2 linked regions of the Oreochromis niloticus genome follow. The protein of the gene in region 2 interacts with the protein of the main gene of each other region in a pairwise test. Links are inferred from orthologs where the notes say so. Each region holds a gene or a part of one and is shown on either strand. Other genes may lie near its edges. The genes, in order: ttbk2a and klhl12.

Evidence for each region.
Region 1: the proteins of klhl12 (region 2) and ttbk2a interact in binary tests that used the Homo sapiens proteins (3 or more experiments, as listed by UniProt). The two-hybrid records come from large-scale screens. The link is inferred for Oreochromis niloticus from reciprocal best matches to the Homo sapiens genes KLHL12 and TTBK2.

Annotation. Positions count from the first base shown.
Region 1 is NC_031983.2:19,231,005-19,246,912, forward strand, and holds the start of ttbk2a (tau-tubulin kinase 2), read left to right. Parts: upstream 1-9,962; 5' UTR 9,963-10,312; intron 10,313-15,074; 5' UTR 15,075-15,167; coding exon 15,168-15,236; intron 15,237-15,908. Other genes in the region: tmem62 (transmembrane protein 62), read right to left, coding at 401-721, 1,580-1,698, 1,935-2,030, 2,228-2,426, 2,693-2,852, 2,954-3,109, 3,203-3,325, 3,630-3,754 and 6 more.
Region 2 is NC_031984.2:10,037,447-10,052,674, reverse strand, and holds the start of klhl12 (kelch-like protein 12), read right to left. Parts: upstream 5,921-15,228; 5' UTR 5,646-5,920; exon of another isoform or gene 5,553-5,645; 5' UTR 5,501-5,552; coding exon 5,443-5,500; intron 3,494-5,442; coding exon 3,267-3,493; intron 3,094-3,266; coding exon 2,940-3,093; intron 1,809-2,939; coding exon 1,591-1,808; intron 349-1,590; coding exon 199-348; intron 84-198; coding exon 1-83. Other genes in the region: ptpn1 (tyrosine-protein phosphatase non-receptor type 1), read left to right, coding at 6,432-6,488, 8,730-8,820, 11,681-11,781. UniProt on the Homo sapiens protein: Substrate-specific adapter of a BCR (BTB-CUL3-RBX1) E3 ubiquitin ligase complex that acts as a negative regulator of Wnt signaling pathway and ER-Golgi transport.

The sequences.
Region 1 (15,908 bases), on a different chromosome or scaffold from region 2:
ATGACTCAGCTTAAACCACAGGAGAATACAACTCTAATACAGTATACTGTCAACAGCAGCATACGTTGGACTAGTCTGTCACATAGCTCAGATTGGCTAATTTACCCTTATAGTATCCAAGGTATTTTTTGTTTGTTTTTTTACACTGTACACATTGCTATGAATATGGCCAGAAATGTGCTCACCGGTGATTTACAACAACATGCATATTAAGTAAACAACACTATCTAGAAACAGGATAGTGAGTGATGTACCGTGAAGTGGCTTCGGATAGAGGAAAGAAAGAAAGGAAGGGGCTGCTTTGCGGGGGAAACTGAGGCTTGCGCCGTGGATAGAGACAGCAAAATATATCTGAGAGTCAGGCTTGAGGGGAAACAGCGGCGGTACCGTGCAATTACTGTCAAGAGGGAGAGACGCTCTTGCTTGTGTCACGAATGAGAGAGGCGGGGCTTGTCCAGGCGCGGTAGACCAATAGCAGGCTGAGCCCTAACGCCCACGTGCGCACAGGAGACAGGAAAAAGGCCATGGGGCCATAGGTCTCCAGGAGGAAGTAGCAGGAATGGGCCTGCCAGGTGAGGAGCAGCAGCATGAATAGGTGAACAGCCAGAGTCCTCCAGCGGCAGCCCGGCCGCAGGAAGTGGGATCGGAAGGTGTTGCCACGGCAACGGTGGTGGAGGCTCCAGCAGAGATAAGAAGTGAGGGGCATGTTGAAGAAGAGGAGCTGGCAGAGAGGAAAGGAGTTTAGTTGATGTGAACAGAACATGCATTTATGAATGAAGCAGTACCCACAGGTTATATCATCGCTTATAGCTTTAGAGAGAGAATATTGTAATTCCCCCACCCAGCTGCATGCTTTATCCTTCCTCTTTCTGGTTCATGAAGGGTGTAACAGATGAGTCTTTAGAGGAAATATGTTGTCACTCTACTAATTGTTTAAAAAGGATCTTATAGCTACCATTCTCTCTATTTAGTTATTTAGTTTATTTAAGCTTCATTTTGGGTTTAATGTTCTTCTTTTTAAAGATTCTGCCACTGTATATTTACTTTCGGTTTAAATAAAGAGTTTTCAGTTCTCTTCAACTCCATTATTTGCGACATTGCCCAATTATGTCTGACCTTTGATCCAGTTTGTGGCAACATGACCTAACCAGCGATTTTTTTCCATCCTAAAGAGTTTGTTTTCAGGAATCATGATCATCATTATCATTATTATTATTATTATTATTATTATTATTATTATTATTATTATTATTATTATTATTATTAATAAGTATTTTAGGAGAACTTCTGAAATGCTCCCTTCATTTCCATGTCACTGATTTATTTTTCCACGTCCTGAGAAAGCTTTCCACCTTTAAGGGTCCCACAGTGTTCACAAGCTATTAGTTTTTCCTATCCAACAGTCGGTGCTGGGCAGGAAGTTCACATTTCCTAAGAGTTGCTGAAAACAAAATTAATTTAAATTTAAAGCAAATATGTTCAGTTACAGTCTACAGCTGGACATATGACACGTATGTACAGAATCACAGAGAGGCTAATGTGTCCAAAACAAGGGGGGAAAAAAATTCAATGTTCTTACTTGAACAACTCCAACCACATAGGTGAGACTGCCCTCTAGAAAATGTCCATCAATGAACACTCCAAAGGCGAAGCAGGCCCCACTGTGGCCATCAATCAGCTCTCCTATGAACCACGGGCCTGAAGGAAGAGAGGAATGGATTACAGCAACATAGGAGAGATTACTGGGTAATCTTGTAAAGCAAACCAGATGTTATTTGTACACTGCTTTGTACAAGCTTCAAATCTGGCAACCACAAACAACTCTATTGTTTATTATACATGATAGATACAGTGTAGGATGGCAGATAAAATATATTTTTGGACAAAGAGGACGGAAAAAGTTAAATGGGAATAAGGCACAGCATTAAACTCACCTAAGGCCGTGCACAGGTTGAACAGCAGCAGAGAGTAGTAGAAAGTGTCTATTTTACTGACCAAGCGGAGTGACATACACACTTGAGAGGTCAATCCTGTAGACATAATGAAATACCAAACATCTATGATTGCGCACAGTGCAGAGAGACTTCTTATAGTGTGCATTTTAAAAGCTGACATTGAATCCTTATTGAGAACCCTGTCTGTGTCTCAAGTTCAGTGCGACTGAACCTGAACAGTCTGTTACATTATGATGATCTATTTATCTGAAGGTTAGTCAGAGACAGCTCACCTCTGCCCGAGAGAACAGGCATAAACCTGAAGGCCATGAGAACACCAATATTCAGCAGCATCGTGATTATAAAGGCCACCCGGCCCAGGATGTAGTGATCTGTGAGGAGGATGAAAGACTGCACGAAGCCGAAGGTAGGAGTCAGATCGCCCTCCAGAGTAAAGTGCTGCTCCCGCACTGATGACCGGCCTGCCGCGTCCTGACTCACATGCACACATAGAAAGACAAGAAGTTCTTAGTTTTTAGAGAAAGGTAGGAGCATTTTTTTAAAAGTACGAGAGTACAACAAACCCCCATAGCCACCAGTGGGTGTTTTCTAGCTACAATTCCCAGACAGCAAATCTAATACAGCTATTCATAATTCAACAAAGGAAAACAAATCTTCTTAATCTAATAAAAGACCCATGAAATATTCAAAAGTCTCAGAACACAATAAAGTGGAAGATAAATGAATGTTGCACCGACCTCCACTTTAACTCTGATTGTGTGCAGTCCTGTGAGGTAAAGAGACGGATCCCATAGCAGAACATAAAGGGGGCCTCCAGCAGAGTGACCTTTCCCCAGAGGTTCCCCATCTACACTCACATGCACCGCAGTGATTGGGGCCTCTGAGAAGGCCAAGATCCTTCAGAAAAGAAAAGAAAATGAATTCTTAAATATTAGAAATTGAAATTCATTTGCACTGGAACAAAAGAAAACAGAAAATTCAACGCATAGACAAAACACCTGATGTGCGTCGACCTTCGTATCCGACCCAGTGGCTCCACCCCTGGGTGCAGATATTGTGCATCCTTGGGGTTTGTGATGAGCACTGCAGGCCACTGCTCAAACCTCAGATCAGAGAAACTCAGCAGGTCATGGTCAAAGGCCAGAACCCTGTACCTGTAGAAAGATGTTAGAAAAATATGGGCGATAATACGACAGAAACAGAAATACAAGTAAGAAAATGTTGAAACACGTAGTGACTATAAACACCTGCGATTGTCCATCCAGTCACCCAGCTCCAGCTCCAGAGTGCCTTGGGGATGCCGGCTGTGGAGCACAGGCATGAGGCCACCCAGAGTGTGCAGATGGCCGCACAGATATGCAACTGCAGATCTTAACACAAAAACGTAGAAATTTTAGTTAGACTTGTTAAGTGTCTGCAAACAGAGGCAGTTGAATATGTACTTTACTCCACAGCATGAATTTGAAACAAGCAGACAGTCAAAATGCTTCTTACATTTGTTTTTTATCATTCTAAGACTGAGACACAATTTTAGCTTGCAGCCAAAAGGAGGAGGTTGCTGAATGTTTGCACCATGACGTGATGGAAAAAATGTTTCATTTCCTCAGCTCACCCTTAAAATAAAAATAGGAAGAAAAAAAAAAAAGAAGATTCAAAATTGGGGATTGTTCTTGCCTCATCATGTCTCGTACTCCTGAAGAAGGAGAGACGATGGTGGAGGTGGTGTAGTGGCCAAACCAGATCGACTGGTTGCTTTTCAGACTCTCAGCTCTGAACGTGTCCAGCAAGTCCATTTGAGTCTGTCAGATATGACAAAAAAACTTCATGTTTATGAAAACAGACAGCTAAGCAGATACTTTAGTTATTGCTACTCAGAAACTAAAACACTGTGCGTTTACCATTTTCTTTCCTGTTTACCATTTGCTGGACCACATTTTCTAACAGAGGAATGTAGTCCTTCAAAAACTCGCCGCTTTCTAAAGATCTCAGAATTGTTCATGAAGAGGTGTTGCACAAACTCACCTGGTTGAGAATACCAAAGAAATTGTACGGCCTCTTGGGGCCTGGAGTCAGGGTGGCATCCACACAGACAAAGGAGTAGTTGCCAAAGGGGGTCGTGTGAACGTAGTGGAAAGAGCCTACTTTCTGATTGGCTGAGTATTTCCTAGAATAAAAATTGAGAAACCTTAAACATGAGCATCAAGCTACTGTACAGCATAATACAGATTTTTTTAAAAATAAATAAATAAATGCGATCTTTAAAGAATATCGGGAAGATTAAAGACCAGCCAGCGCTAACAGAAGCATCAGCAATGTCACATAAAACATGAAAAAAAAAAACAAAAACAAAAAAAACAGTGTGTAGGTCCTGCTTCTATTTTTGTCGTCAGGATGTTCAGATAGCTGAACTATTAATGGAAAACAAGTCTGCAACTATACTGGTTTATGGGCGTCAAATGCCACAGGATACTCCAATCAGCTTTCTCTTGTTGCTGTGAATTGCAGTAAGGGACTTTACTGGCCATTTACTGGTACTTTGTACTAACCTGTAATAATTGGTGATGCTGTCCAGTGAAATAATGTTGAAAGCATCTGTGAGGAAAAATGAAATAACTGTGAGATTAAGCAGTGTAGAAGCTGTAAGGGAGGTGACCGATGAACTATTCTTGTACTGTATTGTAACAAAGAAAAATCTCCCTTTACTAAAGGACCCACAGATAAACATCCGGGAAACACATCAGCAGCTGTGATCAGCAGCAGAATAGCTGTCAGAGCCACTGCAGATCCAATGAACAGCTTTGCCTTTTTTTTGACAGTTACAAATTCAGGGTATCTTGTTTCACATCCAGTCACAGAGGAAGGGAAGAGGAGGGGTAGAACCACTTCCTGTGGGATGCTTCGGAAAATCTTAGCTGTACACTCAGCACACTAAAGATGTTTCGGCTGAATCAGTGAGCCTTGAGAAACCATAGTAATTTTTGAAAAAAGTGCCATGGTTAATCACCGTGATTTCCGCGGATGTCAATCCACTTGGTGCGCTCCATTACACGTGACCTCTTTAGGATGTTGTGGTACGCCTGCCACTCCACCTCGTGCTGGAGGGATCCCACCTTACTCTCTGTTTTAGCATCCGTCAGATCCCCTGGGGTAAAGGAAAAAAGGGGAGAATCTCTGTAAGCAAACTGTCATCTGATTGCATGAGTCTGGCACTGCATGATCTTGAGCCACACCCATTCAGTCATATTATATGCAAAGAATTTAACAGGAACCAGATAGAGATCACTGTACCTGTTGCAAGCACAAGAGCTGGTTTGATCACCTCAATGGTGTCGGTGCAGAACTTTTCAAAGTCTGGGATGCGCCTTGGGTCATGAAATCGACTAATGTGAATATCGGACACCTTGAATTACACACACACAAATGGAGGTGAGGGGTAAAGGCAAATATTTTAAATGGGGCTCTGTGACATTTTCAGCTCTTGTGGTATAAAGGCTATAGAACAAGAGTGCAAAGTCTGGCTCAAAGTTGCTGTGTTTCTGTGTTGAAACACCTTTTCACCCAACATCGGAGCACTTCTGTGGACACTGACCCCTTTCTGTCAATCATTCAGAGAGTTTAACCTTAACACAAAGTCAAACGCCTGTATTGTATACACACTAGATGTAAATAATCCCTACAGACGGAATAACAGCCCACCTGTACAAACCAGAATATATTGTTCAAGTGTTCGCCGGGAAATGGTGGAGAACTCCCCTTAGATTCAGCTCCATCACCGACAGTCGGGTGGTGAACGCTCCGTTTAGGGTGCCAAGCCGTGTCATAGCTGTCCAGCACCCAGGAGGTGATGCACGCCAGGGCCAGTCCGAGGATAACCAGTGCACCAAACAGCTTCAGCATCCTCCTGTAGTGGCGAGAAAGGGGGGCTAGCTGCCGCCGTCTATCCCGGACAGAAAAAAAGCTAGCTACTGGTGGAAACAGCTAAGGGCACGAATCACACTAACATTAACTACAGATATAACAGACAACTGAGCTACATGGCTAAGAGCTAAGGCTCAGACCGTTTCTGTCGCTGCCATCGCGGCCACACGGGATGCATTGAAGTGCGTGGTTCATTCACGGCTCCGTTCAGCTGCCTTCGGAGGCGGAGGAGGTAGCACGGCAGGTTAGCCAGCAGTTAGCTTCCTGCCTACCAGCTACCAACACACAGCTCTGACCGGGTGGAAGGGGGAACGTCACCAACAATGACGAGGCAGCGTTATGACAGACAGAGCTCCCACTCTGACATTGTTTTTCAGAGCTCCGTAATGATAACACACCTGCCATCGCGAGGAGTTTCGGGAACACCAAAGCACTTGTCAACTTCGGGTTTTTATAATCATTTATTCCCCAAAACCGTTTAAAAAAAAAGGAAATAATTAAAGCTTTCGTACAGTTTTTAATTCTGCCATTTGATATACGGAACTGGAAACGCTTGACATGACCTGGCTGATATTTGAAAGATGAATAAATGAATAAATAGATAGATGAATAGATTAATAAATTTATTTTAAAGACAGAAAAAAGGAAAGGACCCTTTATTTGACATTTTTTCTGTCTTTTTCTGGGGGAGGGGTTCTGTCAAAAAAAAAATTCCATCTCAAGCATCAAAGATACTTTTTTTTTTTTTTTTTTTTTTTTTTTAGCATTTTTAAGTATTTATTTTCACATCTTTGCTCAAATACACCAATTATATAATAATTCAAAATGTTACAAAGGCAATAGATCCAACCCTTGTGAGGTAATAAAAACATTTCTGATCATTTTATCAATCGTGACATGGTAACAGGGTTGCAAAAAAATGACTCGGCTGAATGGATATATCCTTTTATTTGTAGATTATGACATATTTGTGACAAATAAATACTCAGGGCCACAAAACTGTTGTTAATATAATAATATTTTGTATGTTTTTAATATGCATTTCTTATGTTAATTTTATATGATAACAGGGTTGCTAATCAGCACTAATATTAGTGTTTTATCAGTAAAAGATATTATCCGTGGAATTTAATGATCTGTGAAAGTCAAGGATGTAGTTATGTAAATAAAAGGACAGAAACTCTGAAATGAGTTTGTCTTCTTTTGATAACATGTGCAATGGGTTTGCAGTTAGAGTGACACACTCAGTCTTCACTGGAAAAAGACAAAATATGTCAAAGAGGACTGACCTTTGGTCAACCCATGGTGCTAGCACATGACTCAACCATGTCACTTCTTCTTTGTCAGGTCGTCTCCCTGTTTTTGTCTCTTACTCCTCCAGGCTAAATAGGTTTTGGTAACTGGGTTGCACATATGTTGTGAATGGTTTCCTTTTTTTAAAAAAAAAAATGCTGATAGTAAATGGTTTGACATTTCTAAATGAGATCTTTCAACAAAATCAAAACAGAAAAAATGAATTCATAACTTATTTTATATAATATATTATATTTCATATATTTGACATACAGTTTGGCTCAAGAAGTTGGGAGAAGAGAAAAATGCCATTTCTCAGAGGTTCTCAAAGGCCATTTTGTATTTTTAAATAATATTTTTCAAACCAACAATACGTTTACATTTTGCCTCAGGAATGGTGTATTTACACAGCAAATGCATACCTTAGTATTTATGAATTCATTATTTTCAAATTATGGCTGGGACAGAAAATGTCCTGCAATCGTATGTTGACCCAGATATCTGCAAATAGGAGGATACTTATGGCTGTGGCTGATGTTTATCTGATGTGCCACAGCACTTTTGTGCGGGCTAAATTCTCAAAAGTAGTGTGACAAAGAGCTTAAAGGCTTTAAAAAATACTGAGAATTCTTTGATCCCCTGACAGAAAAGAGAGAATAAATAACAAAAATAAAATGAATGAGAGCACACATTAAAAGAAAGTAAGTCAAAGTAATCATTGGAATAAACCCAGTAAAACTGCTGTTCAGTTACAGTGCATTGTATGATACCAATGACTAATCTCGAATGTAATTGAATCAAAGCGGTGCAAAACAGGAAATTATTAAGACTCCGTTTCCAAACAAATTAAATCTTCAGCTGTGCTGAATATACACTGTATAACAATTGTTCCACAGCAATGCACTGTATTGGTGCAAGAAAAATATGGTGCAGTGTGCACACAGCGTGCTAGATAGAATCAAACAGAAATAACTGCATTGCAATCTTGCAGTTTTTTCTGCAGATGGAGCTATATTACAGTAATCTTACATATCTTTTCACTGGATATTTTATCTTTATGCAGATAAAATGGGATAGTCTTTTTACAAACCACATTTTCTTAGGGTTGTATTTTTAGTATTTTCATTTTTAGTATGTTATTATTGTAATATGCAATATATATGTGTAAAAGTAAAGATTTAGAAACTGTGATGTAATCTAACTCTACTCCAGTACTTTACTGACATTAAATTTTCATTATTTATATGTCTTGTGCTGCATTGCATTTCTACTTGTATGCTGCTTTATAACAATTCAAAATGAAGTACTGCACTTTTTAACTGTACTATAACTGCAGGCTTTAGACATTTTAAGTCTATTCAGTGGATGTAATTGAACACCTTCAGTATACACTGAAAATGGGAAGGTGCTGAATGTGTACACCTGTTCAGACAAAATATTTATATACTAAGGTACCACACTTACAGTCATGTAAAAATAAAATAAAATACAAAATATAGCATTTCACAGGACTTTATGAAGTCTTGTGAAAACTAAGTACACCCCATGATTGAATATCTTGTATAAATCGTAGCAGCAATAACTTCTGTATGACTTCATCAGTCTCTCCCATTGATGCAGAGGAGTTTTGGCCCACTTTTTCTTTACAATGTTGCCTCTGTTCATTGAGGTTTGCAGGCCCTTGTATATGTTTAGCTCTTTTAAGATCCACTAAAGCATTTAAATCAAGTTGAAGACTGCCCTTTGACTGGGAAATTGCAACACTTTGATTCTTTTCCACCTATTCAGTTTTAGATTTGTGGGTGGCCTTAGGGTCTTGGTGCCCAGGTCCTGTGGCCGAAAACCAAGCCCATATCATAATGCTTTCACGGTCGTGCTTCATAGTTAGTATGAAGTGTTGCTTTGCTGTGTTTGGTTTTGTGCATTATGGCCACACATGTCCACTTTGGCCTCATCTTTCTAAACGACATTGTTCCAGAATTCGTGTGGTTTGTTTAAATGCAATTTTGCATACCCAACCTGTGCTGCTTAGAGAGAAGAGGCTAGAGAAGGTGGATTTTTTTGCAACTTCCCCTATATCGCACTGTGTAGCATTGTATTAACACACATCTGAATCCTGCAGACCAGCAAACTGCCAAAACCTCTGCTTTTATAGAGATGCTCACACTTGCTGATGATCATTTGATTAGCAACACCTTGCTATTACTTACCCTCTTAATTAGAAGCATTTTGTGTGTACTTTTCACAGGACTCTATGCAGTCCTGTTTAAACTTTCTATTTCACATGACTGTAAGCAGTTTTGAGGAAACTTTTTTACCCAACTCCATTACAATTGTTTTACTAGATCATCTTTCCTTTCTTTAGATTGAACTACAAGAAAATCACTTATTCACTACATGTAAATGTAACATTTTTTGACAATATCTTTGCTGTCGCACTTTTTTTCTGTTCCACTTAAATAAAAACCGTGTATCGTATGTTTTGTATTGTAAAATGCACTTTTCATCACTGAGTGTTGTTGTTTGTATTGCAATGGCATCTTTTGGTTAATGCCGCCCCCTAGTGTTATTGATAAAAAACGGCCTTTTGTGGCCGCGTTCCAAACCAAACCGATTGTATCCTTCATATTATCCTCTAACATCATTTTCTCATATCTCCTTTGTACGTCCATATATGATGACACTCCGCATACTCTTTGGGCTGGGAAAACAAACGCAGACGCGGTGACTGTGTACTGCGCGTGCGCGCAATGCTAAACCGCGGAGACGAGCTTTAAAGAGGGCCCCCTCGCGCGCGTGGCCGAGCTGTTGCGAGGGGCGATCGAATCGGGGCCGCGCGCGCAGGAAGGCTGCTGATCATCACAGAGTTGTCACGTCACGGATCCGCAGCGACAGATAAAGATGCTGAGGTGACAGGCAGAAGGAGAAAACGGACGATCACACTCAGACATATTTCCTTCCCTCCTCCATTCGCTCTTTTATTTTATTTCCAGTCACCGACAACACCACCACCACCTCCGCCTATGGACGCTTCGCTCGCTATGGGATTCCGCTCGTTGTCGTCCCCGCCGCCCCCAAACCAAAAGGATTTTTCGTAACCACACCCGGCTCGTCTTTGGATCAAGGGCTGGCAGCTCAGACCCGAGGTAAGGATCCAGATGATTCAGTGCCTCCTCTTTTTTTTCCCCACCACTCTTAACACCCCCATGTTTGTCGGCGGCAGCTGCGTACATGCGTTCGGTTTGTTAACCTGCATGTTGTCAGAGCTTACAGTCAGGCAGGATGGGCTTGCGTGGCCTGCGGATGGCCAATGTGCGTGGACGCGCCTGAGTAAATCTGCTGTGGCAACCAAATCGCTATGCAACAGCTCTCCACAGCAAAGCCGGGGTCAGTCAATGCAGGCAAGAGAGGGGGTTTCATTTTGCAGAGCGGCGTTACACCTTTGCTGGGACTCGGCTGTAGCTTGTTATCGACACATCCCGTTGAATACGATACAGAAGGCCTGATTGTATTTGCTTGGTCACTGTGGTATGCACTAATAATGATGAAAAAGATGCACTGGAGGCAACTGTAGCTCTTTACGTGAATGCATCTTTGATTCCCTATATAAACACACTTTCTGGTCCCATCCTTCCCTGCTTCCCAGTCTTCTCTTGATAGAACCCATAGTTCTGGAGAGAAGTCAGTCCAGACATTAATTTTCATCCAGCAGCAGTCTCTCCGTCCTACCACTGAACCAGGCCACTCTTGGATTAGGCAGAAGATATTCTCGTTGGATCCAGGCTTATACGCATGTATGCATAGCAAGCTTTCAGGGTCAGGCTTGATTTGTTGTTGCTTTTGTGAATATTCACCATCAAATCACATTCATATTCACTCTCAAGGAGGAGCTACTCTGCGGCAGAATCACTCATTGACATTTCATGATGCTTTTTCTAGCTGTAAACTTGCAGCTTCCAGCAGACCTAAAGGGCAGAGGCGATGACCAGCTGCAGTCAGCAAATGAAAATGGCACTGCACCATCGTCGCCATGGAGATGCTGGGGTCAGGAAGCTTGATGCATTATGAGGCAGGAGCTGGCTGTCATACTTGGCTTTTAATTTTGGGGTCCAAAGGCTGCTTCTGGTGGGCTTGTTGTTTTCTCTCTCGTCATTGGCCGTGTCTGGTATGGAGGAGGAGGAGCAGAACCGTGCCCCCTCTGTAAGGCGTTAGATTAGTCACAGTGTGAGGCAGCCTGGCTGGCTTGTGCAGATGTGTTGATTTGTGCAATATGTGTACAAGCTTATGTTTGAATGAATGCTGGTGTCTTTGTGAGTCAAAGATGGCCTCAGATGAAGCCACTATTTAAAACTTTCTTTCCCCACACCCTATTTGTATGAAATAACAACCTCCAACTTCTGACTAATTTTAAGCAAATTATCTGCTGTGATACCCAGGTGTGACCCTGTGGAAAAATGTCCTGAAGGAAAGCACTGGAACATGCTGTGACCTTGAAGTTCTCACTCAGAGCACTAGTTATTCAATCACAGAGAAAGTTGCTCATCCCTTGAGGATATGAGCATTTTTGTGGAGCACGTTTGATGGCATGCTCTGTGATTTTGCATAAGCAGCAATTAGCTCAACGTTGAGAATTCACAGTTGGCTCAAAGACTTACTGTGTTCATCTCTAATTTACCAAGAAAAATACTTGTATAGAAGTTTAGCCAGTGTGGATTAAAAATAGATTGATTTCATCTTTTTATTCACTTTCGATTCTCTTGAACCAAAGCAGGACAAAAGATTCAGGAGGTATGCTCAGGAGAGAAGAGGAGTTAGAGAGAGACTGGTGTAACAGTGAAGCTGGGGGGAGCGGAGGTAGTGAAGGTGGCTGATTTTAAATCTCAATCTTTCAAAGCAATGGAGAGTGAAGAAGAGAGTGCAAGGCAGTGTGGAGTGGGTGGAGAGTCAGAGGCGATTTGTGACAGTAGAGTGAAAATGAAAGGTTTACAAGATGGTAATGAGACCTGCTATAACATATGGTTTGGAGTTGGTGGCACTACCAAAAAGACAGGAAGCCAAGCTGGAGCTGTCAGAACTGAAAATGGTAAGATTTTAAATGGGAGTGACCAAAATGAACAAGATTAAATATGAGTACATCAGAGGGAGAGCTCAGGTTGAACAGTTTGTAGATAAAGTTAGAGAGGCAAGGCTGACATGTGCAGAGGAGGGATAGATTCTGGGCAAAGGATGTCGATGCAGGTGCCAGGGAGACGGAAAAGAGAAACATCACAGAGCAGCTTCATGGATGTAGTGACAGAGGACACGCAGAGGGTAGGTGTGACGGAAGAGGATGTTAGGGATTATGGGTGAGATGGAGGCAGAAGATTCACTGTGGCGAGCAGTCAAGGGAGCAGCTGAAAGAAGAAGAAGAAGAAGAGTGAATGACCCAATGCTTAAAAGAACTAATGGTGAATGAATGTCAGCACTCACTCTGCTGTGTTTAGTATAGTAATTGGAAAATTCTAGCATGTGAAATGATGACCGTGATCTCTGTTATTCCAAGCCTGCTGACAACAGAATGAGTGGCATAGCTGTAGAGCATACTCTAGTATAATTCGGGATTCTAAAATGTTTTAATATCATTAAATATGGTTTTCAGTCATTTTTACACAATAAAAGGTAAAGATTACGATTAGGATTAGGGTTAGCCTCAAGGCTTCTTCAGCAGTAAATTGTGCTACATCCTAGTTCATAGCAAAACAGTACAATGTAGAGATTAGTGGGCATTTTAAACTAAATCAGAGCATATATACTGAATATTTGCAGTGTTATGAATGACCGCACACAACTTTCCAACCCTGCATTGTCACAAGTCTGATCACTCAAAGCCGCTTCATTGTGCTGCACTGGCCAAAACACACAACCACTTTAATGTCATCTGATATTTGCTGTGCTGTTTTTACGACATTTAGTAAGTCATTGTTGATTTCGAATTATCGCACGTGTCTTGATTTCAGTGAAGTTTTTCCATTATGAAGATATTTGGTTTGTCGTGTATTTTGTTGAGCTCTACCCATGCTCTATGCATGCCATTTGTTACATGTTTGATATGTTTAACCGCTTATAAATAAAGCATAAATTAGCTTATTATCCTCGCTACACCAATGGACCAATTCATGTAAAACAAAAAAACTGAAAAGCTGTAGGAGATGTAGACACATTCATAGTAGGAAGCATATATAAATATACAGCTGGGATCATAATCAAGCCCCTTTTGTCCCGTGAAGGTAAACATTTTAAAATAGAATGTACTGTTAGTGTAATGTAAGTCCATTACAGTAATTGCGAGTCATTAAAAGGGATTTGTTTGGTCCAGTTGTGTCGTTGGATCTGTGTAGCTTCAACAAAGGCCACCTTACTCCTGAGCCTTAACCTTGGGTCACATTTCATGCTCATCACTTCACTGTTATCTGCTCTAACCACACTTCTCCCTCTTCCAAGCCTCACTAGCATGCTGCATGATGGGATTGATTGCCTCCTTGATGTCGGGATCATGCCCTGTAACCAAATAGTGTTTTGAAGGCTCGTTGCGTAACCGTAGATGCTCGGGCGCCGTGTACAGAATGATGAATCAAAGTCGGGCTTGCTGTGAGTGAGTGTTTGAAGGCGGACTAAAGGAAGTATCTAGCGAGTGCTCTCCGGAGGAATGTTTATCTGCGACACGGATGTTGTATAATGCAGGAACACGGACTCGGTTTTTCAAAAGGAAATTCCATTTGAAAGTTGATGTGTGCTAAAGGAGTTTGTGCCACATCATGTCAGCCTAATTAAATGATCAGCAACACTTTTTAACAGGTTGTATTTTATAGAGATTCTATAAATTATTATTAAGTTTATTAATAATTTTTCTATTAATGCATTAGAAGCCAATTTGGCTCCTCTGGAACGTGTTTATCCTCCAGCATGCTGCTTTTCAGACATCTAGTCCAAAAATGTTTTATTAACAAATGATTACCATGTATATATGTAGTAATACTGACACAACTAACTTTATTTAATATGAACTGTAAGTTAGAATTACTACAGAATGATTCAGTATTGTGATAAATGCGATAAAAAGAGTTCATCTACAGCTGGATTTGACATGAATGGTCCATCTTTTCTTTCTTTTATCTTCATCCAATTTCCCAGTTGATGCTGATTTTTCTTTCTTTGGTGTCAGGCGTAGGTATTATGTAAGCTGTAGCTTCAACCTACACATTTTTGGTTTGTCATTTGATTTTGTTTTTTTAATCATTCAATTTCTCGTGATATAAATGAACAGAATAGAAATAATGACTGCAGATATGCATATTTCTGTTGTCTGGAATTAAAAATAAACTTAAAACTGTCTTACAAAATAAAATGAATGAATATGTAACTTATAAGAATAGTTGGTGCTTTGTGAAAATTCAGTTATTTATAAAAATGGGAATTTTTGTGTGGTTTGGTTTTAATCAGTTCACTACTGAGTCGATTTAAATTAAGCAAATTAAACCGACTCATTACATCTGATAATACACTCATAAGGCCTGCCGCTTGGCTTTCATACACAGAAGAGGGAAAATGATACTAAGATGATGAAACCTCTTTGTAATGTAATAGTTTTGCCTGTGAGTTTGTTGGGTGAGCTTGTCTAGAAGGACAGCTGCTGGCAGCAGGTGTGGCAGCTGCTGCAATGGTCACGTATCAGAAAGCTCCAGCTATTGAGGCAGCAGTTGGTCTCTCAACTGAGCGGCATGCATGCTTTCTGTAGTGATTTTAATGCTGTAAAACCTGCTGGATGTTAGCCTGAGATGCTCAAGTGCAGCTTGGTCAAATGTAACCAGATTACAGCTGATTTCCTTCTTCCGCTTCTGACTGCTTTGTTTCTCTCTTGGACTTCCGTAGGGTTCTCCATCAGATCCCAAATGCTCGGCCCAGTGTGAGGCTGCTGGTCGTGGGGGAAGCAGTGAGGGCAGCGTCCCTAGATTTGCCGACGGGATGAGTGGGGGAGCAGAGCAAACTGACATCTTGAGCGTGCTCTCCCTGGTCAAGGAACGATGGAAAGTGGTAAGTGCCGTGTTTTCCAGCTACAATAGGCTTCGTGTTTGTGCAGCCCCATCACTGCCTGTCCCGAGGTCACCCTCTGTTCCACAAACAGGATTTCTTTGTTCCTCAAACAATGCTTGCTCTGCCTATGAGCGCCACCGCTCTCTTTTTAAGTGTCTCACCTGTGTATTCGACAGTTTGGGGTCATGTCTCTCTGTCCAGGTTCTGCTGCTGCAGTACGGGTGATCCAAAAATAGCCTGTATAGCTATTTGTGGCAGTTCATTGTGCTATAGGCAGCAGCAGCAGTGCTCCCCAAAGGCCCATGTCTCTCACTGCTGTGCCAGCCTGGGCTCCGTGTGAGGCTGTTATTCCTAACTGGCTCCACTTCCTGTCATCTAAGGAGTTACATAAGAATGCTGCAGCTAATCCCACAACTTTAGCTCCAAGTGCGACAGAAAACTCTGTGCGAGCATGGAGGACAGTGAAGGGCACATCGGAGCTTAGGGGAAATTAAAGCTGTAGTAGTTGAGATACAAGATGAGCTTGAATACTATTGGTAGTTGAGAAGCAGCTAAAAGAATGAAATAAGGACGATGCTATGCAGAAGTATAGGTGAACTATAAACTGAGTCATATAAATTCCTGCTGGTTAACCAGGAAGAAAATTTCACATTTGCCAGCAGTTTTAATCAG
Region 2 (15,228 bases):
TCACTCCTCAGCTCCGGTCTTAAGTGGAATTTCTTGGCTTCGTCAACAAGGTCTCGACATGGCAGGCTACACCGAATGAGAGGCTAAGACGAGTAAAAACTTGCTTAATTACGGTGTGATAAAACTTGACAGAAAAATCTTTCATAGGAGGCTTGGCATGTGATTACACAACAACCCACAAAGCGTCGCCTGGCTCACCTCAGTATCAATGACATCTGTAATGTAGCGTGGGGTCAGCAGCGGCATCCGAACAAACTCGAGCATGTCTGGCAGGTAGGGTTCCCGCTCTTTGCGGTTGTGTTTGACCCAATTTAATACGGCCTCGAATACAGGCTCCTCCGAGTCCACCTGCATACCGACAACATGTACATTAATAACACCTGACAGTAAATCTACACAACACTGAAGGATTTGCTAACAGCTGCAATTGAACGATTGCACAAGACTGATTTTTGATGCAAGCTCTTTTTCAATAAATATAATTACTTGTGGCAAGACTAGTGGCAACAATTCAAGAGATTTCTGCAACTGCAAAGACAAAATGTACAAAGGTGAAACAGCGCAGTCTGCTAAAATAAACTTCAAATCCTCAAGGATGACAGAAAACTTTAACTGAAAGCAAATTATGCATGACTATGATTTACATGTATGGTCTGGTTTTATTTTAAAAACAACAAATATGACAGGAAAGACAATTTGACAGAACTTGTGATCTATAAATCATCATGTGATAATAACTGTGTTTTCACAAAGCGGGGTATGTGGTTGGGAAACAGGAATTTCCTGAGCACAAAGCCAAACTTAAATCAGATTCACTTCTCTGCAATTTCATTGTCAGGTCAATCCACAACACTGACTGGAACTTGGGTGGTTGGGGGGAGGTCACAGACTGATTCTGTAACAGGTTTATACTTGCTTTTCATTTTTGGCGCTTAGATTGTTGACAGACATTATAGAAGCTGTGAAAGTCAAGCTCAATTTGCATTAAATCAACTATTTGTTTTAGGGATCTCAGACTGAAATTTAACTATTTCAGTAGTACTGCAGACTAACGTTATTACAATTAACTAGAACTCGACTACAAACTAAAACTAGTTGTGATAAAAGATTTTAGTTAACTGAAATAAAACTTTGTGAACTTGCAAAACTCACTAAAAACTGCAAACTGCCTGATGAGGCTTTAGTGCATTTGTAGATATATAATGTCTATGTGACTGTGAGGCAACAGCCTTCACAAAAAGTCATGTTTAAACCGTAATTCCCTAAATCTTCCCCCTGATCAATATTCTCCATATCACAAATACTAACCAAGTAAACTGAAACTACAGAAACTAAAATGAGCCACTCTGGAAACTAACTGAAAGGGAACTGAATAAAAAAAGTCAAAATGAAATAAAAATAAAAACCAATTAGAAAATTATAAAACTATAACACTAACTTTCATGCAGACAAAAAAGTTAACAGGCAACTTTCAGGCGCTTGGAGTAACAAATTTTACATCATCCAGCAACAAAACAAAAAGCAGCATTCACAGCACATTTAAAAAGATCTTCAAAGAGAAACAAGCCTCCCTACATGCAGTTTTCCTACCTGAATTTCGTCACATTTTATTAGCTTTTCCACTTCTGTCTGGCTCAGCAGCATGAACTCCTCATGCTGAACCACCTCGGAGAAATGCTTCTGGGAGAAGAGCTCAGCGGCCTGCATCAGGTCAAGGCAGTTGTGAGTCTCTGCAAAGTCTCGAATGCCCAGACAGTTGGACGGATCGAGTTGGCTCTCCAAAAAATCACAACACGCTCTTTTCACCCCTAGGGAATACAGAGATAGGTTTGTACACACATACACCATTTGTAGCCTTAACTCTTTCGAAAACCAGCATTTAATTCTCTCTTAATTTGGAAACGCAGAAGGCATTTTAATGGAATAGTACCACTGTTTAATAAATGTTTCTTAGAAAATAGAATTTTAAATTGATGATTAAGCCTAAAAATAATTATTACATCACATTTTCTGCGGTTCCCAGCAGACTATAATAATTCTGGATGATATGATTAATTTTACAAACAGACTCATTCACACTATCTACAAAAATATATATATTTGCAACATTCGCTGTCATTTTTTTAACTTTTTTTTTAAATATAAGATTATATGGCGTCTGCTAAGATGAGCTGGATACGGTGGCCAGGGAGCGGGAAGTCTGGGCACTCCTGCTTAGACTGCTGCCCACTCATCCTGGCAGAAGATAGATGGATGCATGGATTTTCCCAGGTGCTATACAAGGTATGAATACTGAATACAACACTGCGTGATTGATTGATTACACTGCTGTAACTGAGGTTCGAATTAAGCCCTTACGTTGTTTCATGAATGGATTGAGGAATTAAAGATGATCCATTTAAATCTGTAACTGGATGAGTTTCCCAGTTACTAACGTTTGCGAAAGTGACTTATTTCAACAGGCCTGCTTACTAAAACTCCAAAATCCAACATTACAACAACCCAGTTTATTCTACCAGCTACACATAAACTGACCTAAGTCATGCTAAAACTAATACATTACTGCCTGCAAGAGGAAACAATTCAAACTTTGTAATACCTGGTAAAACGTATCTTTGAGGAAACTGAATAATACGTTTCAAGATCTGGGGTTACAGTCATGAAAAGATGGCTTAGGCAAACTCTTTAATCATTATGTTTATTTTCTTTCATCATAACATTGCACTTTAATTAACATGAACACTGTAAATATGCCACATTTACCCATACACACTAATTCTTATCAGCAGACCGTGGTAAACAGACATAATTATATTATGTTATATTAACATGTTAAACAAAGTTATAAAAGCTCAAAACACAGAAGCTTCTGAAGACAATGTCAAAACCAGAGACAATTATTAGAAACTTTTTAACTCAAGGTACAGCTCTGAACTTACCTTTGAGCTGTAGCAAACACGCTGCAGGGAGCAGCTCTTGTACGTTCTCCACCGTGACGAGCACAGTCTCTGTGTAGACAAAGTCCAACAAGATCTCCATAGTGGATGCCGTGAGCCCCTGAATGTCGACAAAAGATTTCCCCTTTTCTGCAAGCTACAGAGCCACAACAACACATTTATTTGAAGGATTACTTTTGAGAATCATCCTGCATTTTAGGCAAATGTAACACCACCTTAAAACACCCAGAAAGGCCAACAAAGAAAAAAACAGAATAAAAGAGTGCATCAGGAATGTAACTGGGGCATCTATTTTTCAAACATTATTACCTCGCTAGTGAACATGGCACAAAAATAGTCACTGCAGGCAGCCAAGACGATTCGGTGAGCTGGAAAATCAGTGTTCTCCACCCTCAGAGTGATGTCGCAGAGTGTGTTGCTCTTGCGAAGTGAGTTCATTGCATTGAGGATGGATTTGGCATGGGAATTGGTCATGATGTCTTTGGGAGCCATGCTGCTTTGAGAATCCCTTACGGATCTCAAACTACTAAATGAATCTGGAAAAAAGACAGTCTATTTTGAAAACATCCTTTGGGAAGAAAGGTATTCCACAGTAAGCATAAAAGCACGCCACAATGTCACATTTTTATATACTGTACAAGCAAGTCATGCAGCTAGTGAGTGTGTGTGTCTGTCAGTAATTTGTCAGTTGGGTTGAACTGCTGGCTATTCACAAGATAAGTTTGTGACACTTTGTGGGAAATGATAACAGATTTTTGTCACTATTTTACACCCTTTTTACAACATTTTGTAAAAAAAAAAAAAAAACCCAAACCCCTCCCCCCCCAAAACCTAACTGCTAATGAAAATGTACATGAAAAAAACCCCACTTTATATTAACTTTTACATTATATAATACTTACTTTGTATATATATAATTTGTATTGTGTATTATTTCTACATTTTTTTCTTGGCAAGGACAAGAAATAGCATAATTTATTCTGCTTACAGGACAGCAATGGAGAGAAAATACTGACTATCATAGAAGCACTATAGTATTTATAGTGCTGTATTTGCTCGACTTCTTGATTTATTTCTTGCAAACAATGACTTGACTTATTAAGGGGGAAAAAAGCTATCCAATCCTACCTGGCCCTGTGTAAAAACAGAATTGTTACCCTTGTTAAATCATGAATTAACTCCAATTAACCACATTTTTGGAAATCAGAGTTCAATTACACTTGCCACACTTTGGTCTGATTACTACCACACCTACTGAATCAAGAAATCACAAGAATAGAACCTGCCTGACAAAGTAAAGTAGCCCAAAAGTGCTCAAAAACCAACATATCATGCCATGATCAAAACAGATGAGAACCAAAGTCACTGACGTCCATTTCTAAGGCTTTGGGACTCCAGTGAACCACAGTGAGAGCCACTAACCACAAATGAAGAAAAAATTGGAACAGTGGTGAACATTCACCAGAGTGGCCAGCCTACCAAAATTACTCCAAAAGCCCATCGATGACTGATCCAGGAGGCCTTAGGCATGTCTCACATTTGCCAAAGAACATCTAAATAAACCCCAGAACTTTTGAAAAAAAAAATACTCTGAGGACTAAAGTTGAACCTTTGAAAGGTTTGTGTCCTGTTACATCTGATGTAAGACTAACACAGCATTTCACAAAAAGAACATCATGCCAACAGTGAAACACGGTGGTGGTAGTGTGATGGTCTAGGGCTTCTTGCTGTAATTCATGGAACAATGAATTCTGCTCTCTACCAGAAAATCCTGAAGAACAATGTGAAGTCATCAGTTTGTCCCATGGAGCTCAAGCATAACTTGGTGCATAACATGAGTTATGCAGCAGGATCTGAAACACATTAACAAGTCTGCCTCTTAACGGCTCAAAAAAATAAGATTTTGGACCGGCCTAGTCAAATTTTAGACTGAAACCAGATTAAGATGCTTTGGCATGACCTTAAACTGGCCACTCATACTTGAAAACCTTCTAATGTGGCTGTATTAAAATCATTCTGCAAAGAAGAGTGGGTCAGATTTTCTCCACATGTGAAAGACTCATTCCCAGTTATCACAAAGACTTGACTGCGGTTCATCCTTCCAAGGGTGGTATAACAAGTTATCAAGGTTGTAGAGGGCAATTACTTTTGTCCACACAGGGCCGGGTAGGTATGAATATCTTTACTCCCTGAATAAATTAAATCATCATTTAAAAACTGCATTTTGTATTAACTGAGATTACATTTGCCTAATTTTAAAAGTTCTTTGAAGATTTCAAAAATGAAAAAAATAACAACTCAGAAATGGGGGAAATACTTTTCTCATCACTCTACTTCTTGTAGAAAGGTTTAAATGATCAGTTATTTCTATGAATAAATGCAGCATATTTAATAATGCTAGTCAAATAAATATGTGTTTTTTTTCCTTTCCAGACTTTACATTTTTGGAACATTTTTCCACTACAGTCTTGCAAATAAAACTTACCGTTAAAAGATCTGAATACTTTTTCCACCACTGGGAGGCAATAACTATAGCTACACATTAGCTAGCAGCAGCCAACGACAGCTGACGGCTAACGCCAACGCTAACAATAACAACTACGAAAACACAGCAATATAAAGTGAGCTGACGGCCAGAGGAAGACAACACATGGAGCGACACACACACAAAACAACTTATAATAATACCTGTCGCAGCAGTAAAAACGTCTAGCTAAGTTGCTCAGCTAGCTAACGTTAGTAGCACCAAAGTCCCCCTGTCCCAGTTCTTTGCTCCCAGTCGCACTGCCTAAACAAAGCCCCTCAACTACAGCTACTCCATGACGACCTCTGCCGGGTCACTCTATGCACGGCCACCGTGAGGACACATATATCGGAACGGCATCATATTAAATCCCGATGGGATTTTTATCCAGCTATAATATCCCGTTGACTAAACTGCAGCAGCAGAGCAGCGACTCCACAGATTGGACGTAAACAGACCATTACGTGAGTGTACGTGCGCGTCCCCCGAGGAGACCGCCCAGACGCGTTTCGCTCCAGAAACAAGATGCCTTCCGCGCATGCCCGCTGGTCGGCCTCAACTGCTGCTGTAGGAATAGTAAAATAGCCGTCTCACTCAAACTAAGTGACAAATCCGGATTTGACGGGGGCTTATAAACCCAAAGTGACACACAGAGAAACGCAGGAGGAATTTTATCTCTTAAAAAAAAAAAAAAATTCTGCTCTCTTTTTTTTGGTCACCCAAGGACGGCAGCTACAGCAGCAGGAGGAGGAGTTAGCGGCGTGTTTCCGCTAAGAGCAGGCCGAGACGGTAATCTATGCAGCCGCACTGAGAATTACAAAACAGCGGCAGACCAGTTGGCAGCTACTGCGAATAGTTTGACTGAAATTTGTTTAATCTTCGGGGACTTTTGGTTGTTCGTATCGGGAGGCTAAACAACGAGAGAGTGAGTGGCAGCTGGACTGTCAGCGATGGAAGCTGAATTTCGGGAAATCGATGAAAACGGCAGCTGGAACGCCATTTATCAGGTAAGAGCTCTTGGCAAATTAAGGTGGAAATAATCAGACCGTAGCTGAAGCTGGTTAGGCCAACGTGTAGCTTATGTAAGGTGAGGTGGTAGCTATAGTTTCTCTGGCTATATCAGTGTGTTGGTGTTTAGTTCAGCGCCTGTTCTTCCTGCTCGGAGTTAACCGATGATTGATGCGTCTGCCCGGGTATAAAGGCAGCAGCTCAACGCTGACTGACGTCATACATTTTTTGGACGTACTAACTTATTTTTAATGATTTGTTCTCAGTTTCGTCTAACATTTCCATTCCGCTGTTAATCGGCAGCTTATTATAATTATTATAAATGTTTGTAATACATTACATAGGGGTATAACACACCTGAAACCGAGTGAAATCGCGATACAAACCTCCAAAATATCGTATCGCGGTTCTATCTCTCCCATACCATGATACACGTAAGGTGTAAAATGCCATAGGTAACAATTCAAATGGAAATGCATCACAATAATGGTAGAAATTTTCCTCTATGAAAAACTTTGCCACATTCTAAAGAAGTTTTAGCCTTTCATAAAAGAGAATTATTAATTTTTGTTGAATGGGGTTTGATTTACTCAAACTTAAATGCATTGTTAAGGGTTTTCAGTGGGGTTAATTTAGAAAAAATAAATTTCTGACAGAACAAATAACCAAAAAAAACCCCAACTGAAACCTGCTTTGAGCCAGGAATCCCCCTCTCCCCAATATACTATTGCATACAGGATTCATTAGTCTGTTATATGTGCCATACAGCTTCTATTTTAATTCTTTAAGACCATATCCTAAAACTTAAAATTAAAAGTACCCCCTGGGAATTTTTTTGTGAGCTAGCAAAAGTACTGTTCAAAACATTTACCAACACATTAAATATTTTCTGTACATTTGTGGTCTACTAAACATGTCAAAGGCATTCACTTCCTCATTTATGATATGAAGTGTACTGTTTAGTTGGGGTTTTTTTCTTTCTTTCTGCGTATAAGAAAATTTGACCTGCTACGCAAACTTCATGTAATCACCCCAAAGGCTCATTTTGAGCCAGGAAATGCTCTTAATGGAGCTAAATTGTTATTCGTAATTCAGTCTTGATCAAACGATCAGACCTGTTGTGGACTTTGGTTTTCTCCCTCGTGTCTTTGTTATTTATCCCTGCTGAAGAAAATTGAATAAACTGAAACTGTGGAACATAAGGTTATGGACTATGATTGGTCATTGAGTCAAATCTCAATCATCTCTCTATTATTTACAAACTTTACAAACATTATGCAGTGGCTGAAGTTAAAACTGTGTTGTTGTTGTTGTTTTTTCACATGGAATCTTCTTTAACTGTTACATAATTCAAATAACATAGAAAAAAACTGTTCAGTAGGCAGGGCTTTGGATTATAAAGCCAGACCAGGTGATGGTCCCTACAAGCCCATAGCTTCCATAGCGGAATGTTTGTGGGTCCAGATGGGCGAAACGCTGTAATAGAGTTCGGCCGTCTTGGGAAACCTTTAAAGCAGCCTCAGATGAACCACAGAGAACTGAAGCTGACCGCAAACTGTTCAGCATTGCCAAAAGCAGATAGGGTGACAGGCCCTAAGTGATCTAGAGTTGGAAACGGCTGCAGTCAACCATTAATAATCTTTCCACAGGTTCACCTACCTATGCCTTGAAACTTTTTGTCCCGCTGTTTAGCTCTCTTGCAGTTATATTGCCTGCAACTGAACTAAACCGCAAGTTTAAACTTTTTAGGAAGAGGTGAAAGCAAAATAGGTGGGCTTGGAACATGTATATCATGAAACAATAAAAACAATGAAAATGAATGTTGTTTCTTGTTTTCATAATTGTTGGAAGTCAGAATTGACATTTAAATTAAACTTTCATTAACCACCCTAAGAAAGCAACCAGCAAATTTCTGGTTTCAGAAATTTGATAACCCCCTCCTCATATTTTAGGGTAGTCTAAATACAAGCTTTTGACAGTGTTAGTATTGAGGCAAATATAATCCTGATTGTTATTGAGATAGCTAGAGGAAATTGTAAAAGGGTCATCAGTGAATGTCATCATTGTTTTGTTTGTTTGTTTGTCTTAAAGAATACAGCAGTCACACTCAGAGCTTTTTAATGTGGAGTGGATGTTGTTTTGTTGTTGTTGTTGTTTTTTTTAAACAAAACGAAAAAAACCCTGCAAAAACACCAAAACTCTGCTTTAATGCTTGTTTTCCTCCTTTTATTCTGTTACAGGAGATTCGGCAGCAGTCGAGTGAATTCCCTTGTAAGGTTGCCAAATCACCTGAAAACAAGAATCGGAATCGATACAGAGACGTTAGCCCGTGTAAGTTTGTCTTTGCTTGCCTCAGTGTGCTGGACCGCAGAGTCTGAAACACTTAAAATATTCCCACAACTCTCAAGGTGTTTTAGCCACTAAAATTACATTTAGGACCTCATTATATACTCGTATACTGGTTTCATTTATCTAGGGCAGATATTTTAAAATGTTTTCATGTAATTAACTAGGGTTTTCAGTGATTTTAAGCATCACAGTTATGCCAGGTTTTTATGCCAAACCTTCTGTAGAACAGATACATTACCTGAAACTTAACCTGCCTCTTAAAGCTAGCACCATGCACACAGAGGTTGGTCACAGGGATATAGTATTTGGGTAACTGTGATAGAAACATTGTCCAAATGCCCCTGAAAGTAGCAGATTTGTTTGTGTCCTGCCTGCCAGCTCTGGTTGCTCAGTTGTCAAACCGCATGTGCTTCAGGATATCTCTGAATCTTGCTCTGCATCTGTGAACTGTGGTTCATTGCAAAACATTAAAGTGAGTGAGTACAAGTGGAAAATTACAATAAAATCAAACACTGTTATGTTTTTAAAAAAAAACAACATGCTCACATTTTCACACAGCTTTCTATTATCTTTGCCACACCAAAGGGGTTATTCGTGTAAGAAACTATGAAAAGTTGTGGAATGGCAAATGTCATGTCATGTCATGTCATGATAGGAACATTTTTCTGATTCAAAATATCACAAAGGCACATATAAATATACAGCTGGGGTGATAATGCGACCTCATTTGAATACTTGAAGGTTAAGTGAATGCCACTGTGGGTCTCTTTGCTTGGTACTCTACCCGCAGTGTTGAAGGGTCTGTAATCTCCTATTTATGTTTAAACATCTGTGGTGAAGTCACAGCATTATGCAGCATTATATAAACACCTAAGCTGTCTGCTGTTTTAGTAGGTACAAGCACTGTAATATCAGTTTGAAGTCAAGTAAAGGTAGTATTGCGCAATAGAAACAGCCTTGCATGACTCTAACTGGCGTGGCATAGTATTTCCAGCTAATTTATTACTGAGTGTCTCAAAAACACCTACACAAGGGGAAGATCAGGGAAAGGGGAAATTAAGTTTTTTTTTTTTTTTTTTTTTCAGCAATGTTTTTAGTATCATCTATTTTTTTAAGCCTTGAAATAAATGGTAAAATAAAAAGCAAAAACAGAAACAAGCATTTCCTCTATTTCCTCTCTTTTTTTATCTTATAAATATATGGTTATCCATAACCACACAGCTCCTTTTTTTTGTATGTTACATAAAAAGTGAGCGTATATACTGAAGCATAATTCATTCATAAATATTAATTTAAAAAATAATCTTTTTTCTGAATTGAGGATATATCTTAAAAATCTTAAAGGAGCCACTGTTTTTTGTGAGCTTGATTTCATTAACAGTATTGGCCTCATTGGGACTTACTGGTGTCTTTGACCAATATTTTGGTACTGTTACAAGCTGTGTGCTGGATATTATGCTGTTACTTCAGGATATAAATCCGTGTATCTAAAATATATTCTTACTGGCAGTTTGGTGACCATACACAGTATAAAAGGATGCACGTGGATAAAAGCTGAATTTTGAAGCTTTAAAGTTAGTTTTGGCCACTATCATAATGTTATGATGTTTTTTGGGAGCTAGAGTTGACCTTATATGCATGAAAGGGTGAAGGGCTGAGTTTACAGGTACAGTTTTTTTTAGCAACATCAATGAACTGTTAATTAATACAGTAGCAGGAAACACTCAACAAAAAGGAGCACAAACTTTGTGACTAGTTTGTACCACACATTAGTTATTAGTCAAATGATCTCCATTAAAAAAAGCTCAGTGACTCCAGTTAGTGGAGGTGTACATCAGCTACATGTAAGTACACTTGTCAATCAACACAATGACTAAGCTAACTCAATAACTCAATTATCTAAGTGAATGAGTTTCCTCTTTTTTTTTTTTTTTTTTTTTTCTTCTCTACACCAAGTTGTAAATATATATTTTAATGCTGTAAATTTGGGCGTTTTGACAGGGGAGTCTGTTGGGAATTACTCGCTTTTAGAGTCAACCTCAAGTGTTCTCTAGAGGATCTGTAGTTTCTGCCACTTCTGTGTTTTCAGCTCCGGAAGTTTCCCTCTTGCTGGTGACTCAAAGAACACAAAGATACCAAATGATTTTTGCAATATGTATTTTTTGATCATGAATCTTTTTTGTGTTTTTTGCTTGTTTGTTTGCTTTTTTGTTTGAATTTTCTATAGCAGTTTGGCATTTAAAATACAAGGTTCATTATACTCATGTGTTCTTTTTGGGTACAAATCAGATAGCTTTGGGTCTAGTGCACTTCCTCTTGTGATAATTTTCTCACAGGTCACGCTGACCTCTTCTCAAAATCTTTCTACTGCTGGAGACTTTGCAATAACTGAAAGCCTCATGTCAGCTTCAGCAGATAGTCAGGTTGCAATGAACTTTCTACAAAACGTCCTAACAGCTGAACTACAGAGTTTCCTCTTTTTCACACTCAATAAGCCATGCAAATTTTTTTTTTTTTTCTCAGACTGGGTTGCAAATAGTTACCGTAAATACCAACAAGGGTTTTCTTATTCCCCTTTACCAGATATGAAAATCAGGAACCTGAAACTTTTTTTATACTGCTAACCTTTTACCTAAAAGGTTCTTCACTGGAAATCATAAAAAGCTAATCTCACAATAGTTAACATCTTTAGTTTGTATGAAGATGCTTGTTAAGTGTTCCCTACAGCTGTTTTGGTCTGAGAATTGCATTTCTAGTCCCTGGTGGGTTGTGGCATTTAAATTTTTTTTTTAAAAAGTTCATATGCATATTTTCATATTTCTTTTGTTTTTTCTCTTTTCAGTTGATCACAGCAGAATACATCTGCAGTTAGGTACAAATGACTACATTAATGCCAGCCTAATAACCGTAGAAGAGGCACGGAGGAACTATATCCTTACTCAGGTAAGTGTAGAAAAGATTCAGTACTGAAAATTCAATATTTCCTCTAATTCAGAGAGACAGTGACAGAAAAATCCAAACCTTTAAGTCAGTATTTTCTCATTGTATAAGATAATTTGGTTTCCTGGTTGGCCTAATGACCATAATATCTTGTATTTTATAGTTTCGCCTTATTTTATGTCCTTGTCTGCAACATTTATAAAATATGCAAAGTTATTAGTTTGTTAGGCACACAGAGCTAAAGATGAGGCCACTCTAATGCAGTAACTCAGCATGAGGTCCTCCCTTTATGAAGGTCATAATTCTTAGTTTCTGCTGACACCGTTTTTTTAAGGTTTTGATTCGGCTTTTATGATAAATTTAGAATCTTTTCGTTTGTTGTGCTTTTAAATGATGGAGGTGTTTCTTTTCATTCTACCCTCATCGTTAAAAGTCGAGGTTTATCATGTTTTTATAGCTTTCAAGTCGTCCTCAGCATCAATGAGTCGACCTTCTGGTTAGAGTGACACTGCAGGGCTCGCAAAATTTGAAAATCCCTGGTAGCCCTTCGGGCAGGGACTCTTCAGTTTGTGGTAGCCCAAAATAAATTTAAGTAGCCCGAATAAAAAAGAGAGCAATTTTTTGATTGATGTTTTGTTTCCTGTTTTGTTTCCGTTACAATATTATACATTAAAGTATAATATTGTAACGGAAACAAAACATTAATCAAAAAATTGTTGAAACACAAATTACAACATTGTATAAAAATTACAATCATCAACTCAAATACTTGGTTCTAATTGAACAGAAATTTCTATGAACTTGTAAGAACTGTGTAGAACATGAATCAGTCTGTGTCAGGTCCTGAATTTGAAATTTCCACTGAAGTCATGGGTAAGGGGTAAGTGGAACCAAGTTTGTAAAGACTGCTAAATTTTGCCAATGGTAGTTCACTCTGTGCAACATAGTACGCTGTTCTAAACAGATTTTTCAGGTTTATTTTTGGTATGTTCTTTGCAATTGGTGTTTGTTTTGGGAAAGATATTGCAGACTGAGCAATAATGCATTTCTTGCATTTCTCATGGGTTCTAATGGGGGTCTTTCTTAAAATTACTGGTCCCAGTAACAAAGGCGCTTGTCGACTCAGAAATCGAGGGAAAACCAACAACACACCCGGCAGAACATTGTTATTTATAGGGGTGCAAATAAGTGGTCCGCAGGTGCGCATTTGCTGTCAAAATAAAAGACGCGCACCAGATAAGAAGTTGCAACGCGCGTTTGCCTCCATATAAAAGGCACTGTTTTTGTCCGCTAGAGTGGGATTTTCACAGCATAGTCTGCACCACATCTCTGTGCGTTCATCATTTGTTTGAAGCCAGCTCACCTCCTGCAACCAATTTTCCGAGAATACGTGCTTCTTTTGTGGTTCAGACTCCTTCTGACATTTCTTTGGAGGTGGAGGAACACCAAAGTAATTGCTTAAAGGAGCTTGCTTCTTCGACACCTTTAAGAGTTCTAAACAAATGTCTGTCCTCCTCCAGAAAATCTTATGTACGCAAACGCGTGTTGCAACTTCTTATCTGGTGCGCGTTTTTTATTTTTGACAGCGAATGCGCACCTGCGGACCACTTATGTGCACCCCTGGTTATTTAGCTTGTCATATTCCAGCCACAGAAATTCTTTTCTCAATGAAACCATAAAGCTGCACTTTCTTTTTCCCTCATAGTCTGATTTGTCATAACTTTTCCGTTTTGTGGTAGGCTTTTTTTTTGGCTGTCACTTCTTCACCCTGACTTGTCTTATTTGGCTCAGCAGAACTAAAATATATATCCTGCTGCTTTTACACACGCACTCACATAACGGTCAGTGATTCTCTGCTCAATCAACCTCTCACATGTTTAAGCTTGCTGTGGGAGATTTCACTTTTCACGTTTGAATAGTAAGCTAATGAGTGATAAGACGACGTCAGAGGAATTGGTGCGCAATTAATCGTCACTCACCAATCAGTACTGCCGCTCTCTATACACAGTTCACGCGATCGCAAAGTGAAAGCAAAAAACAAGCTCAAATTCAAACGCGATTTCAATATGTCACATATTGACAGTGGCTCACCGATGCCAATGACATAATTACCCAGCTACATTTCCGAAAGAATGCAAAAGCATTGACATATATTTTTCCTTCCTATGATAGCCCGACGGGCAGGGCTGAGATAGATTTTGGTAGCCCGACTGAAAAATTCGCTAGCCCCGGGACGTCGGGCTAGCGATTTTGCGAGCCCTGCACTGGGAAAACACTTTGACATTAGGGCTGTTTATACTTGCTGTTATGAAGTCACAACTGCAGGCACAAGTGCTGCTTTGGTGTTCATTCAATTTGTCCTGCACCTCAGTTTGGTTTTTTTGGTTTTTTGTTTTAATCCTGGTGCTGTTTGGTTCAGCCAGGTGGACACGAATATGCCATCATGTTTGTTGTTCTGCTGCTTATGCGGCTGCTCCGGGTCAAAGAGGCAGCAATGTCAGCAGATGCTCTTCTGGGCAAAACCTGAGGTATTGCCAACCAAGGAACACAATCTCTAAAAGGTGTCCTGGTTTTGCTGGGGCTTCTCCACCCTGGAGGACCTGCCTGGAACAACTTACCTATGAGGCACCAGGCGAACTCCTGGTCAGTTGCCTGAGGAGCACTGGCTCTACCCTGATTCCCTCCTGCATAACCACTCTCTTTATACTGTCTGAGCCCAGACATCCTTTAGAGCTTTGACTTTCTGCGATCTACTACTACCCACAGCTCGTAACCATAGAGAGAGAAACAAAGCTCATTGAAGATTGATTTTTTTTTTTTTTTTTTTAAAAACCCACATAAAGCTAAATCAGTTGTCAAAAGCATTTAAAATATCTTTATTCCTGCTCGCACTGAGAAAGCAAAACTTTTAGAGCTCTTTGTGAAGCAAATATTGTCAGTTATTTAGTAACAATACCAATATATTAAGCTGGTAAATGCTCCACATGTTTCATAGTGAACAGATTGGAAATGGGCAAATGTAAAGACCCAAATTGCCCAAGTCAGAGCACAGGGCAAAGCTTGGGGATGATCCCTGCTGGTACTAATGCCGGACAGACCATGAACTGGTGACAAGGCAGAAGGGACTGAGCGGGAACTGGGATTGAACTGATCTGAAGCTGGAATCTTTGAGCTGATAATGAAGGGTAGCTTCTGAGGCTTTGGGTCAAAGCTGATTTGGCAACATTCAAAGGAGTGATCATAATGTTTCCTCTCCCAGCCGTGCAATTACAAGTGTATTACAAGACAGTTTGTATAAGCTCTGTGTATTACAAACAATGTTGTGTATTTACAAACGGCACTCAAAAATTGCGTCTATATTTCCAGCCTGTTTTTAGGAGTTTATAATGTAGATTAGATCAGTTTTTGATCCAAAGAAGTTATGCAAAGGGTAAACATACTCCAGTCTCC